Callithrix jacchus: one gene and its partners. The protein of the gene in region 1 interacts with the protein of each later gene in a pairwise test. Links are inferred from orthologs where the notes say so. Each region holds a gene or a part of one and is shown on either strand. Other genes may lie near its edges. The genes, in order: SALL2, ZMIZ2 and CEP76.

The links.
Region 2: the proteins of SALL2 (region 1) and ZMIZ2 interact in binary tests that used the Homo sapiens proteins (3 or more experiments, as listed by UniProt). The two-hybrid records come from large-scale screens. The link is inferred for Callithrix jacchus from reciprocal best matches to the Homo sapiens genes SALL2 and ZMIZ2.
Region 3: the proteins of SALL2 (region 1) and CEP76 interact in binary tests that used the Homo sapiens proteins (3 or more experiments, as listed by UniProt). The two-hybrid records come from large-scale screens. The link is inferred for Callithrix jacchus from reciprocal best matches to the Homo sapiens genes SALL2 and CEP76.

Annotation. Positions count from the first base shown.
Region 1 is NC_133509.1:56,041,140-56,045,561, reverse strand, and holds the start of SALL2 (sal-like protein 2), read left to right. Parts: upstream 1-1,488; 5' UTR 1,489-1,848; coding exon 1,849-1,921; intron 1,922-4,422. UniProt on the Homo sapiens protein: Probable transcription factor that plays a role in eye development before, during, and after optic fissure closure.
Region 2 is NC_133512.1:12,827,845-12,832,279, reverse strand, and holds the start of ZMIZ2 (zinc finger MIZ domain-containing protein 2), read right to left. Parts: upstream 2,817-4,435; 5' UTR 2,745-2,816; intron 2,539-2,744; exon of another isoform or gene 2,385-2,538; intron 1-2,384. UniProt on the Homo sapiens protein: Increases ligand-dependent transcriptional activity of AR and other nuclear hormone receptors.
Region 3 is NC_133514.1:49,822,646-49,826,025, reverse strand, and holds part of CEP76 (centrosomal protein of 76 kDa), read right to left. Parts: intron 1,218-3,380; coding exon 1,000-1,217; intron 1-999. UniProt on the Homo sapiens protein: Centrosomal protein involved in regulation of centriole duplication. Required to limit centriole duplication to once per cell cycle by preventing centriole reduplication.

The DNA of each region.
Region 1 (4,422 bases):
TTAGAAAGCTCCATTATAGTGAGCTGAAAATTCCTCCTTTTAGCATGCAGCCTGAGGTACTACAGGACTCATCTAAGTCATATTCGCAGAGGCATCCCTTCAACCCTGAGAACTGCAGAGGATTGGGAGAGAGAGAAAGGCCCTGGCCTTCTGGGTATTTTATTTTATTTATTTATTTTTGAGACGGAGTCTCATTCTGTTGCCCAGGCTGGAGTGCAGTGGCTCCATCTTGGCTCACTGCAACCTCCACCTCCTGGGTTCAAGTAATCCTCCTTCCTCAGCCTCCCGAAGCAGCTGGGATTATAGGAGCTCACCACCATGCCCAGGTTGTTTTTTTTTTTTTTTTTTTTTTTAGTTGAGACGGGGTTTTATACAATGTTAGCCAGGCTGGTCTTGAACTCCTGACCTCAGGTGATCCACCCGCCTCGGCCTCCCAAAGTCCCGGGATTACAGGTGGGAGCCACCATGCCCAGTCTAATTTTTCTATTTTTAGCAAAGACAGACTTTGACCATGTTGGCCAGAATGGTCTCCATCTCTTGACCTTATGATTTGCCTGCCTTGGCCTCCCAAAGTGCTGGGATTGCATGCATGAGCCATTGAGCCTGGTCCTGGCTTTTTTTTTTTTTTTAAGACGAAGTTTCACTCTTGTTACCAAGGCTGGAGTGCAATGGCATGATCTAGGCTCACCGCAACCTCTGCCTCCTGGGTTTGAGCAATTCTCCTGCCTCAGCCTCCCTAGTAGCTGGGACTACAGGCACATACCACCATGCCCAGCTAATTATTTGTATTTTTAGTAGAGACGGGGTTTCACCCTGTTGACCAGGATGGTCTCGATCTCTTGACATCATGATCCACCTGCCTCGGCCTCCCAAAGTTCTGGGATTACAGGCGTGAGCCACCGCACCCAGCCCAGTCCTAGCTATTTTAAATGAGATTCCTTGAGATCAATCACTTTTTTTCATGATAGCAGTTGGGGAGCATATTGTGTCTTTTCTGCTATAGAGGAAACAATGTTAGACTACTGTCAGATGCATCTGGATTCCAGGCCTGTGTCTGATACATCATAGCTGTGCACCTTTGGAGAGGTTACTTAACTTCACTGGGCTTTTTGATTCATCTTAAAGGGGATCAGCTATAAATAGTAGTAAAGCCTACTGTGCTTATCTCAGAGTTGTAATATTCAAAACACATCACAAATGAAAATATTCTATAAATTATAAAGAGCTATACATATATTACTCATAATTGGGATACATCAGAAAGTTATTTCAGTTTATACCCCAGAAGCAGCCACATTATCAAACAGAAGGGCATAGAAATATGACAGAACCAAAAAGCACGGTGCAGATCTTGGAGAAGAGTTAGAAAAACAAGCCAAGGACAGTCTCTGAACAGACAACATAGGGAGAGGCCCAGGGCCCTTGCAGGGAGGAGAGGGTTAAATCCTTTCCTCTGCAGTACAAAAGAAAAGAGTGTGCGGAAAGATTAGGATTTTTGCTTTTACAATGGGAGCTGCAGAAGCGTAGGGAAGAAGCTGAAGAAAAAAAGGGGGCGTCTCCCCTTTAAAGACTTGCAAAGATTGAGAGAGAAAGAGAGAGAGTCAAGAACAGAGAATCAGAGGAGAGAGAGAGAGAGAGAGAGAGAGAGAGAGAGAGAGAGAGAGAGAGAGAGAGAGTGTGTGTGTGTCTGTCTGTCTCTGGGAAAGGAGAACATCTCTGCTTCACAGTGATTTGCACTGGGGGAGAGGCATCAATTGGCTTCGGACCCAAAGGGGAGACGAGACCAGGTCGCCCCGGTTAAGACTAAGTGAGCGTGCCCCTCCCTCTCCCAACTCTCTCTACCCGGGAATGTCTCGGCGAAAGCAGCGGAAACCCCAACAGTTAATCTCGGACTGCGAAGGTCCCAGCGCGTCTGAGAACGGTGGGTGCCTGGGAAGGGGTGGGGGGCCCCTGAGTCCAAGCCTGTGTAGGTCAGGCCAGGGCAAGGGGAGGGCACTCGGGCCATGGGCGAAACCAGGCGGGGGCGGACTTGGTCTCTGGGGGTTTGAAGGAGTTGAGATGCAGGGAGTAAAAAGATGACCTGCGCTGGGGAGAAGCCCCGCTTGTTACTCGGGATTGATTCTGTTTGTGTTTTCCTTGTTTTTCTCTGGATGAAATGGAGTTTTCAAACTGGCTCTGTCTCCCCACCCAAGAGTTTTCTCCTCAGGTCTCCCTTTGCACACTGGTCTTTGTGCCGTTGCTAAGTAACGTCCTCAGACCTGAAGACCGTCTCTTAGGGGTGGGATTTTCCCCCCTTTTCTTTCTGGAGAGTTGGGTTGCAAGAGAATGAATTGGACAAACGTGAAGGCTCCCCTGAGGGAGACGAAAGAAAAGTTTCTCATTGTTGGGCTGAACTGAGAGCCGATCGGAGCTCCCAGAGGGAGAGAGCTAATGTCGGTCAGAATGCAGCCTGGTTTGGGGTGTGTATGGTGTCACCTGGAGGAGAGCTGAAGGATGGGTCTGGATGAGGGTCTTAGTTTGTGCTTAAAGGAAGGCAAAGCAAAAAAAAAAAAAAAGTGCAAGGGAACACACCTGTTACTACATGCATATCATTTTATGAGAATATCATGTTTTTGAAGCAACAGGTGTCCCTTAGGGGGAAAAAAATTGCCTGGGTGATTTTTTTTTTTTTTTTTTTTTTTAAGACAGAGTTTCACTCTTGTTTCCCAGGCTGGAATGCAATGGCATGATCTCGGCTCACTGCAACCTCCACCTCCCAGGCTCAAGTGATTCTCCTCCTGAGTAGCTGGGATTACAGGCACCCACCACCATTCCCGGCTAATTTTTGTATTTTTAGTAGATGTGGGGTTTCACCATGTTGGCCAGACTGGTCTCGAACTCCTGACCTCAGGTGATCTGCCCACCTCAGCCTCTGAAAGTGCTGAGATTACAGGCATGAGCCATCACGCCCGGCCCCTGAATGTATTCTTATAACATTCCATTAAGTGACAGGCAGACAGTAGAGCAGGCAGGGAATTGAAGAGTAAAATTGTCCAGAGTGTGAGAGACAGAGGCAAAATCAGGGCGAAAACTTAAATTTCGTAATGCTCAAGGCTGGTGGTGCTCACTCCACTAAACCAGGGTTTGAAAAACTTGCTTGACTGAGTATATCTGAGCTAGGATGTGGGAATCTCTATATTTTGCAAGTGTCCAAGTAATTTTTAGGATCAAAGAAGTTTTGGACATACTTGTCAGTCGTATGGCTCCATATGTGCACACTGAAAGTCCTGGCTCGAGAGGCAACTCTTTAGCATACAGTTGATACACCCAACAATATAGGATAGAATTAAGCACAAGCATTCTGAAACCAGACTTTCAGACAAATCCCAGCTCCACCACTTGGTTAGCTGTGTGACCATGGCTAGCTTATTTTGCCTCTCTATGCTTCAGTTTCCTTATCTGAAGTAAAGCAGAGATGTGTATACTAGCTACCTCATTAGGTTGTTGTGAAAATCTAAATGAGTTAATATGTGTAAAACTCTTGGAAAAATACCTAGCATAAAAAGGTGCTTAATATGTGTAGTAAAGCACCTAGCATGCATGGTGTTTAATATGTGTAAATATTGTTATCATTTGTGAATGCAGTGGTACTTCCTGCAAGTGCTGTAATATGACCGAAACTCAGGAACCTCTTGGCAAATGTCAGCATTTCTTTATGAGAAATGTGCCATGAAAAGCTCTAAGGTAGTGTATTGGTGGTAGTTAAAATTAATTCTAGATTAAACTTGCCTTTCCACATGTTAGCAAAAAAAACAAAAGCCTGAGGTCAAATCAGTGCTCCAGGTGCTATGAAATAACCTTAACAGACATACTATGTTTTGGGCAGAACACATCCTCCCCAAATCACTGCTTTTCTGGGATCCTACTGTGCCCATATTTAGAGGTTCTGTGGTGATGGCATCCTTCCCTCCTGAGACACATTAACCCTTCTTAATGCTGCTATAGGCCGGATGTTTCTTACTTGTGCTCTACAGGAGACTTCCCCTAGAGCCTCAACTCTTTTCCAGAGCTGCCTCACAGTTCTGCTCCCCTGCTGGTTTGACTGTGGAAGTTTGCTGAACACCCCTCCAAGCCCCCAAGAAGCACCCTCTCCTCTTCTTCCTACTTCTCCCATCTGCTCACCCATTCCCCATACCAGAGCTGAGGAAAAATATTCTGTTAGGGAGTCAGAAGCTATTTTTAACAGCTGTCCTGAATGGATTTTCAAGCCCTTTAAGATACAGCTCCCACTTGGGGGCATGGTAATGCTGCGACAAAGCCATCCCCATAGAAACAGGAAAGGGCATCAACACATTTTTGATGAAAATTTGCCTTTGAGCGATGAAAGGCAGAAACAAATGTAAGGAGCAGAAAGCAGTAGTACCCTCTGTTAAGATCTACCTT
Region 2 (4,435 bases), on another chromosome or scaffold:
CTGGTGATGAGAGGCTGCCCAGCTCCACCTAAAAGCAGTAGGATGGGCTGGGGCCTAAGTCCAAAATTTCTAACAATTTACAGCTAGTGCTGCTGCTGGTCCAGGGACTAGCTTGAGAGCCTCAGTTCCAGGAAATGCAGAGAGCTGGGGAGAAGGGGCACAGGCCAGGTACAGGGAGGGGAGGAGCCCACAGCAGGCTCCTATGTCACATCGGCTTGGGGAATTCCACCCTTGATGCTTCTCTGGTGTGGACAGAGACCACAAAGATTTCCAGTTCCCTCTGAGCTTATTCTTCACTACACAGGGGGATTTCCTGCCGACCCGAACTCATACCTCTGGTCTCCTCTCTGAGGACAGTCTCCCTGGGAAGACTCCCTGTCTCCAGGTCTGGTATCGTTGACCCTCTGCTCCTGACCATAGGGAAGCATTCTGTGTTGTGTGTGTGCAGATCTTCCTCCTATCCCCTGGCTCTGAGTCTGGGCTGGGAACAAGCCTGGAGCCTGGAACCTGGATCCCAGATCATGCAAGGCCCATGCCCACAGAGGGGCTTATCACCTGGGGCTTTCCTTGTACACTAACTCCAGCTTGAAGCTAGGACCCCTTGACAGATGGACGAGGTCAGTCTAGAAGGCCACAAGGCTTTCTGGGGGTCAGATCACACCTTCCTCTAAACATGGAGCTACAGGACTCACTACCCAAACCTTTCTTTCCCAAGTGTCCCAGAGCAACTGCACCCCTAAGTCTCCTAGTGAACCTCCTAAGCCTTGTTCCATGCCACCTCTCTGCCTGCCTAGTAAGCTAGGAGCAGGACCAGCGAGTAGACCCTGTGGCAGGCCAACCCTTCTCAATAGGTCACAAATCGGGACTCACTGTCTCCAAAGTTGCAGGGTCAGGTTCTGGATCCAACCTAAGTGACAGTGGAGTCAAAGGGTCTTGAAGAAATGGGGCAGGAGCAGGGTCCTTGGTAGCAAAAGGTAGGGTGCTCACATGTACAGGTACCTGGAAGTCCTACCCCTCTATCTGTAAGGCCACAATACTAAACTGCCTCAGCGTGGGGCTAAGTCAAGATGCAGAGTTAATCAAAAAGTCCAGGAACGAGCAATGGCCCAGGCATGAGACATTTCAGTGAACAGCTGAAGGAACAACCTTAACCTGGCATCAGTTTACCATGTGTACGATGGGTATCTGCTGGCATCCAAGGCCTGAGGACACATGACCACCTTCATGTCATCAGCCCTTGGGAGCTCAATCCCAATCATCAGGATGCTCCGCAAACATCTTAGGCCTGTCCTTCAGAAATCTAAACTGGCAACTGTCACCTGCTTGTTCTCATTTACACTTGCAGCTTGTAACTACCCCCTAGGTGTGACAAGGGCTAGAGGTCAGTACCCCCGGAAGTTAAGATTCCTTCACTTCTGTTTCCACACTAAGCATCCAGGGATGCCCTCTGGTTCTAGCTTGCCAGAACTTGGTGGTGATGCTGTGTCCATCCTATCTGTAATCACCACGGTCTCAGACCAAGTCACATGTTCTGTGTGTGTCCCTGTGAAATCTGTGATGACACAAATTAAAGACCACCATGGATGTCCTGTAATACTGGAAAGAGGGTACCCTAGGGAGAAGGGGAAGCAGAGCACTGCAGGCTAGAGGGTCCAGGGAATGGGGGAAAAGACAGGGTAGGTGGAGGGGTAAATAAGGCACCGGGTGTGTGTAGGGGGGTCGCGGTGAAGGACACCTGCCGGGAATAGGGCGCTAGGGAAGACAAGGTACCTCAGGGGAGGAGGGCATCCTCACACCTGAGCTTCAGTATGTCCAGTTTGGAAAGGGGTGTCCCCATCAAAACTGCCAGCTGGGGGCTGGCAGGTCAGCGTTATTCAGCTCAGGAGCGGAACAGCTCCTCCTCGGGCTGGTGACTGCCTCGGAGGGCCCCCACATCGCCCTGCTGGTGGGCACGTAAGTGGAAGCGGAGGGGCGTATCATGAAGGTGAGACTGCCTGGCCCGAGCCATGAACGATCATGTTTGAGTGAAGGCCCGGCCAGCCTTCACCGCTCAGGACAACCTCAAGCGCCGCTTACATCCCTCGGCCAGCCTCCAACAAAGACTCAGGGGAGGGCTGGACGACCCTGACGCCCACGGGGCCGCGCCTGACCAAGACCACGACGCACGCGTGGCAGGTGCCGGCAGGTGGGCGGCAGAGCCTCCAGCCCCAGCCCGGCTGGGTACCCTACGGTGGCGCCGCAGCGGGACCGGGGCACCCCGGGGTACCGGCTACACCTGCCCGCCCGCACCTGCCGGCCCGCACCTGCCGCACCTGCCCGCCCCCGCCGGCCCGCACCTGCACGCGGGCGGCGTTGCCAGGGGCCACCCCCAGGGCCCCGCTCACCTCCGCCCGGCCTGGCCTGGCCCCTCGCCGTGGCGGCCCCCGGCCCGCGCCGCTCCATGCGCTCAGCCCGCCCTCCGCGCCGCCTGCCGCCCCGGGGCCGCCGCCACCCGCGCCATCGCGCCGCCGCCCGCTCCGAGGGCACAATGGAGCCGCCGCCGCGCCGCTCATGCATATGCATGACGCCGCGCAGCCGGCCCCGCCTCCCAGGCCAGAGCAGCGGAGCCCCGAGCCAGCGCTCGGAGCGGGGGCGGCCGCGAGCCTGAGCGGCCCAAAGCGGCGGGGTGGGGCCAGGGCCGCAGGTGGCTGGGCGGGTAGGAGACGCAGCCTGACCACGACCTGCGCCCCCAGCCCCCTCCACACCTTTCCGAACGCGGCGTCGGCGGAGACACCGCGCGCTTCCTGCTCTCAGTCCGCCGGGAGCGGGGCGGGGCCGGGTGGCGGAGGCGGGGCCAGGACCCCGGGGAGGGGCCGAGTGGGTGGTGGGGCCAATGTACCGGGGCGGGGTCGTGAGGAGGAGGCGGAGCCAGAGGGCCGGGGCGGGGCCAGGGCTGGGGCGGGCCCCGGCCGAGGGGAAAAGGAAGAGTGAGTCCTGGCCCTTCCCCCACCCGCCTCGCCCGCGCCGCCTCTGCCTCTTGGGAGTCCATTGCTGTGGCCCGGAGGGCGGGGACAAGACAGGTAGGCGGAGAGACCTGGAGTGCCTCTTGTGGGAGGGGATCTTAAGGGACTCGGGAAGCCTCTCGTTAAAGCAGAAAATCAAACTTAACCGAACAAGTTCGCTTTCCTCACTGCTCAGTTCTCTCTCCAGCGGTTCTCCTCTTGGAAAAAGTCACTATTCAGCTAGTCTGGCCTGATGAAATAGCCTCTCTGATCAGTTGCGACCTTTGAAATGCTATTGTCAGCCTTTAAGTTATTTTTAACTTTTCCTACGGTAAGTTTAGGAAGACCACATTCTCATAGCAAGTACTTGGAAAAACAAAACGAAGCAAAAAAACAAAAGGAAGACCACATTCTCTCTACTACCCATAATTAATTTTTTGTTTGTTTGTTTGAGACGGGGTCTCGCTCAGTCGCCAGGTGCCAGGCTGGAGTGCAGTGGCACAATCTCGATTCACTGCAACCTCCGCCTCCCGGGTTCAAGCAATTCTCCTGCCTCAGCCTCCCAAGTAGCTGGGACTACAGGCGCGGGCCACCACGCCCGGCTAATTTTTGTATTTATTTATTTATTTTTTTAGTAGAGACGTGGTTTCACCATGTTGGCCAGGATGGTCTCGATCTCTTGACCTCATGATCCGCCCGCCTCGGCCTCCCAAAGTGCTGGGAGTAAAGGCATGAGCCACGGTGCCCAGCCAAATTTCCTTCTTTCTTATGGCCAAATAGTAATATTCCATTGTACGTATATTCCACATTTAGCTTACCCATTCATCCATTGATGGATACTCCACAATTAATTTTTGACATTGTAGAAATTTTTTGCCCAAGGCCGCCTCTGAACTCTGTGCTCTGTTTCTTTTGGGAATCATTCGTCCATCGAACAAATATGGTAGGCCTGCTGCACAGCAGTCACTGGTCTGGGATCTGTGAACACTGGTCTGCCCCAGGGACCAGGACAGTAAGACCCTTCCATCCTTACATCAAGCATGTTCGAGGGGACAAACAGAAGGAAATGAGTTAACAGGTAACAATGTGTCCCTCAGGAAGAGCGTTAGGAAGAAAACTAAAGCAGGACCAGAGAATGGGGAGGGAGTGATGAGGTATGGGGATGAATTCTCTGGGGAGCTGGCCCTGAAGAAAAGACCTGAATATGGGGGCTGACAGGTAAGAGGAGACCCTGACCATTCCTCTGTCTCGGAAGAGGCTACATTTCTTGGGGGGGGTTGGTTGCAGGCAGGTTCGTGGAGGATGCTGGAAGTGGCCACACCAAACATCTCACACGCATCTCTGTTACCTCCTGCTTCAACAACTCCTGCCCTGTGCCCCTGTGAGAGGCCACCTGGTGCCCACTCCTTTCTAGGGAATGTTCTCATTTTCTACTATACGATGAATCGTTAAGA
Region 3 (3,380 bases), on another chromosome or scaffold:
GTGACCATGCACCTCACTTTTTTATTTCCAAGTAAATCAATATTTAAAATAATTTTTTCAGGCTAGGGAAGGTGGTTCATGCCTGTAATCCCAGAATTTTGGAAGGCTGAGGCAGGTGGATCATCTGAGGTCAGGAGTTCAAGACAAGCTTGGCCAACATGGTGAAACCCGTCTCTACTAAAAATTACAAAAATTAGCCAGGTGTGGTGGCAGGCACCTGTAATCCCAGCTACTTGGGAGGCTGAGACAGAAGAATCTCTTGAACCCGGGAGGCGGAGGTTGTGATGAGCCAAGATTGTGCCACTGTACTCCAGCCTAGGCAACAGACTGAGACTCCATCTCAAAAATGAATAATAAATAAAATAATTTTTTCAAATTCTGTCAATGCTATCAAAGACACTGTAATTTTGGTCAAGCTATTCAAATCATAGACTATTTCCATATTGTCCAAACAAAATCAGAGATACCTGACTGAGACTGTACCAAAATCACTGAGAAAATAATCCCAGACTATCTAGGGCTACATTTCAGACCTAATGAATCAAAATCTGTGGCAAGGAGGGTAAGTCATTGTAAAAGATCCCATGTGACTCTGATGTCATTCCTAAATAACTACCAGATTAGGCCAGGTACAATGGCTCATACCTGTAATCCCAGCACTTTAGGAGGACAAAGTGGGAAGACTGCTTGAGCCCAGGAATTTCAATACCAGCCTGGGCAACACAGGAAGACCCCCATCTCTACAAAATAAAGAAAAAAAATAGCCAAGTATGATGGTGCATGCCTGTGGCCCCAGTTGCTTGGGAGGGTGAGGTGGAAGGCCTTTCACGGGCCCGGGAAGTCAAGGCTGCAGTGAACCATAAATGTGCCACTGTACTCCAGTGTGGACAGCACAGTGAGACCTTGACTTTGAAAAAAAAAAAGGAAATAAAAAACCCCTATCAGACTGATCTCTAAGATTCCTAAACTGAAAACCTGATTCCACAAATTACATCTTACCGAAGACATGTGGCAAATGCACGTCTTGCATTTCTATACACAAAATGTATTGGGAACCCTTTAAATGTATGACCATCAGGTACAGCCCTTCTTATGGCATCTTGAAATTCTTCATTGCCTGCTGATATACTTGTTGTACGCTCAAATTCATAAGAAGCCAAAGCTGGTGAAAGAAGATAGGACAGCTGGTCTTCCCAAACAGTAGTGAGACCAAGGTCCTATAAGCAATCAAGAGAAAAAGAAAAAATGAAATACATTAATATTTTTAAAACCAGCTAAATAAAAATGTTGATTATTTTAATGTATACCAAGAAAAGATTTTTAAAAGCTATCATAATATTTTCATAATTACAAAGATGCATAGAAATAAAAGTCAGATAAAAGAAACTATAGGTGATCAGATTTTACTTCTCAGAAAAACCAAACATTCGAAACAGTGATGTTTCATGAAGGCTCCAAATCCTGTACTTCTTTAATATCTACTAGAAAATACTGTATGAAACAGTCCTAATATGGAGTGTTAGTGAATTTTGAGATATTTTACTTAAAGAGTTTATTAAGATTGAATCTGTTTACTAAAGACTGACTGTTCCTACCATAAACTCAACTGCAGAGGGGAGCAAAGTCAGCAAATGAATCCTATATGTAATTAAACAAATATTTACTGAACATGTACTCTATAAAACTTAGTGTAAGAGATAAAAAGATGAAGACATGTTATAGGCCCCTAGGGGGCTTAAAACATATTTCTATAGAATGTTAAAAACAACATGATTCCATTTTTTTTTTTTTTAATTTTTTGAGACAGAGTCTTACTCTGTTGCCCAGGCTGGAGTGCAGTGGTGCGATCTTGGCTCACTGCAACTTCTGCCTCCCAGGTTCAAGCGATTCTCCTGCCTCACCCTCAGGAGTTGCTAGGATTACAGGTACCCGCCAGCAAGCCCAACCAATTTTTGTATTTTTAGTAAAGACAGGGTTTCACCGTGTTGGCCAGGCTGATGTCAAACTTCTGACCTCAAGTGTTCCACCCACCTTGGCCTCCCAAAGTGCTAGGATTTACAGGTGTGAGCCACTGAGCCCAGCCCATGATTCCATTTATAACACCAAATGACCTATTGCTATCTAGACACAAGAAGTTAAAAATAATATTGTTACAAATATAAAAAATTCTCCAAATTCTAGATATTTTGATTATCATAATAGATGTTTGGCATTTCCTTATTTTACATTCAAGGTAACTTGTCACAAATGATCTCAAAGGTCCATGATTAACAATGCTTTTCCCGTGGCAAAATGTGAACCTTTGCTGATTTATAGGCACCCTTAAGTAGTGATCAACACTGGCATCTATCACAGCTTTATTTTCTTTTTCTATAAACAGTAATTCCTTTTTTTTTTGAGACAGGGTCTTACCCTGTCACCCAGACTAGAGTGCAGTGGTATCATCTCAGCTTACTACAACTTCTGCCTCCCCAGTTAAACTGATCCTTTCACCTTAGCATCCAAGTAGCTGGGACTATAGGCATGTGACACGATGCCCGGCTAAATTTTTGTATTTTTTTGTAGAGATGGATTCTCACCCAGGCTGGTCTTGAACTCCTGAGCTCAAGTGATCCAACCATCTCAGGCTCCCAAACTGCTGGGATTACAGGTGTGAGATACTGTGCCTGGCCAAAAGTAATTATTATAAAATAAAATATTGCTTTTATTTATAAGCAGAACCTAAGAAAAGAAAGCTAAAGGTAATACAAGTGATGGAAGGAAAGAGAAAGTAATAAGGGGCTTTCATCTCCAGCAATATAATGGACCAGAGGTCTCCTGATCAACTCTTGCTTAAAAACACACTACAAACTCCAGATTTTCCAAAATATACATTTAAATGCTTTGATGAGTTGACAAGCAAATAAGGAATATGTACACACACACACACACATTTTTTTAAGACGAAGTTTTGCTCTTCTTGGCCAGGCTGGAGTACAATGGCATGATCTTGGCTCACCGCACCTCCAATTCCTGGGGTCAAGCAATTCTCCTGCCTCAGCCTGCCGAGTAGCTGAAATTACAGGCATGTGCCACCATGCCCAGCTAATTTTATATTTTTTAGTAGAGACAGGGTTTCTCCATGTTGGTCAGGCTGGTCTCAAACTCCCAACCTCAGGTGAATTGCCCACCTCAGCCTCCCAAAGTGCTGGGATTACAGGCATTAGCCACCGTGCCTAGCCTGAATAAGGAATATATTAGAGGCCAAAGCTAAGAGTAACTGGGAACCCAGAGAACATGTTTGATAAATCAGTTTGCCTTTGACAGCCTCAAAGAACACAGAAAACACCCACGGTAGAGAGTGGAATAAGGAACCCCAAAAGGTGAATCAGAAATAAACC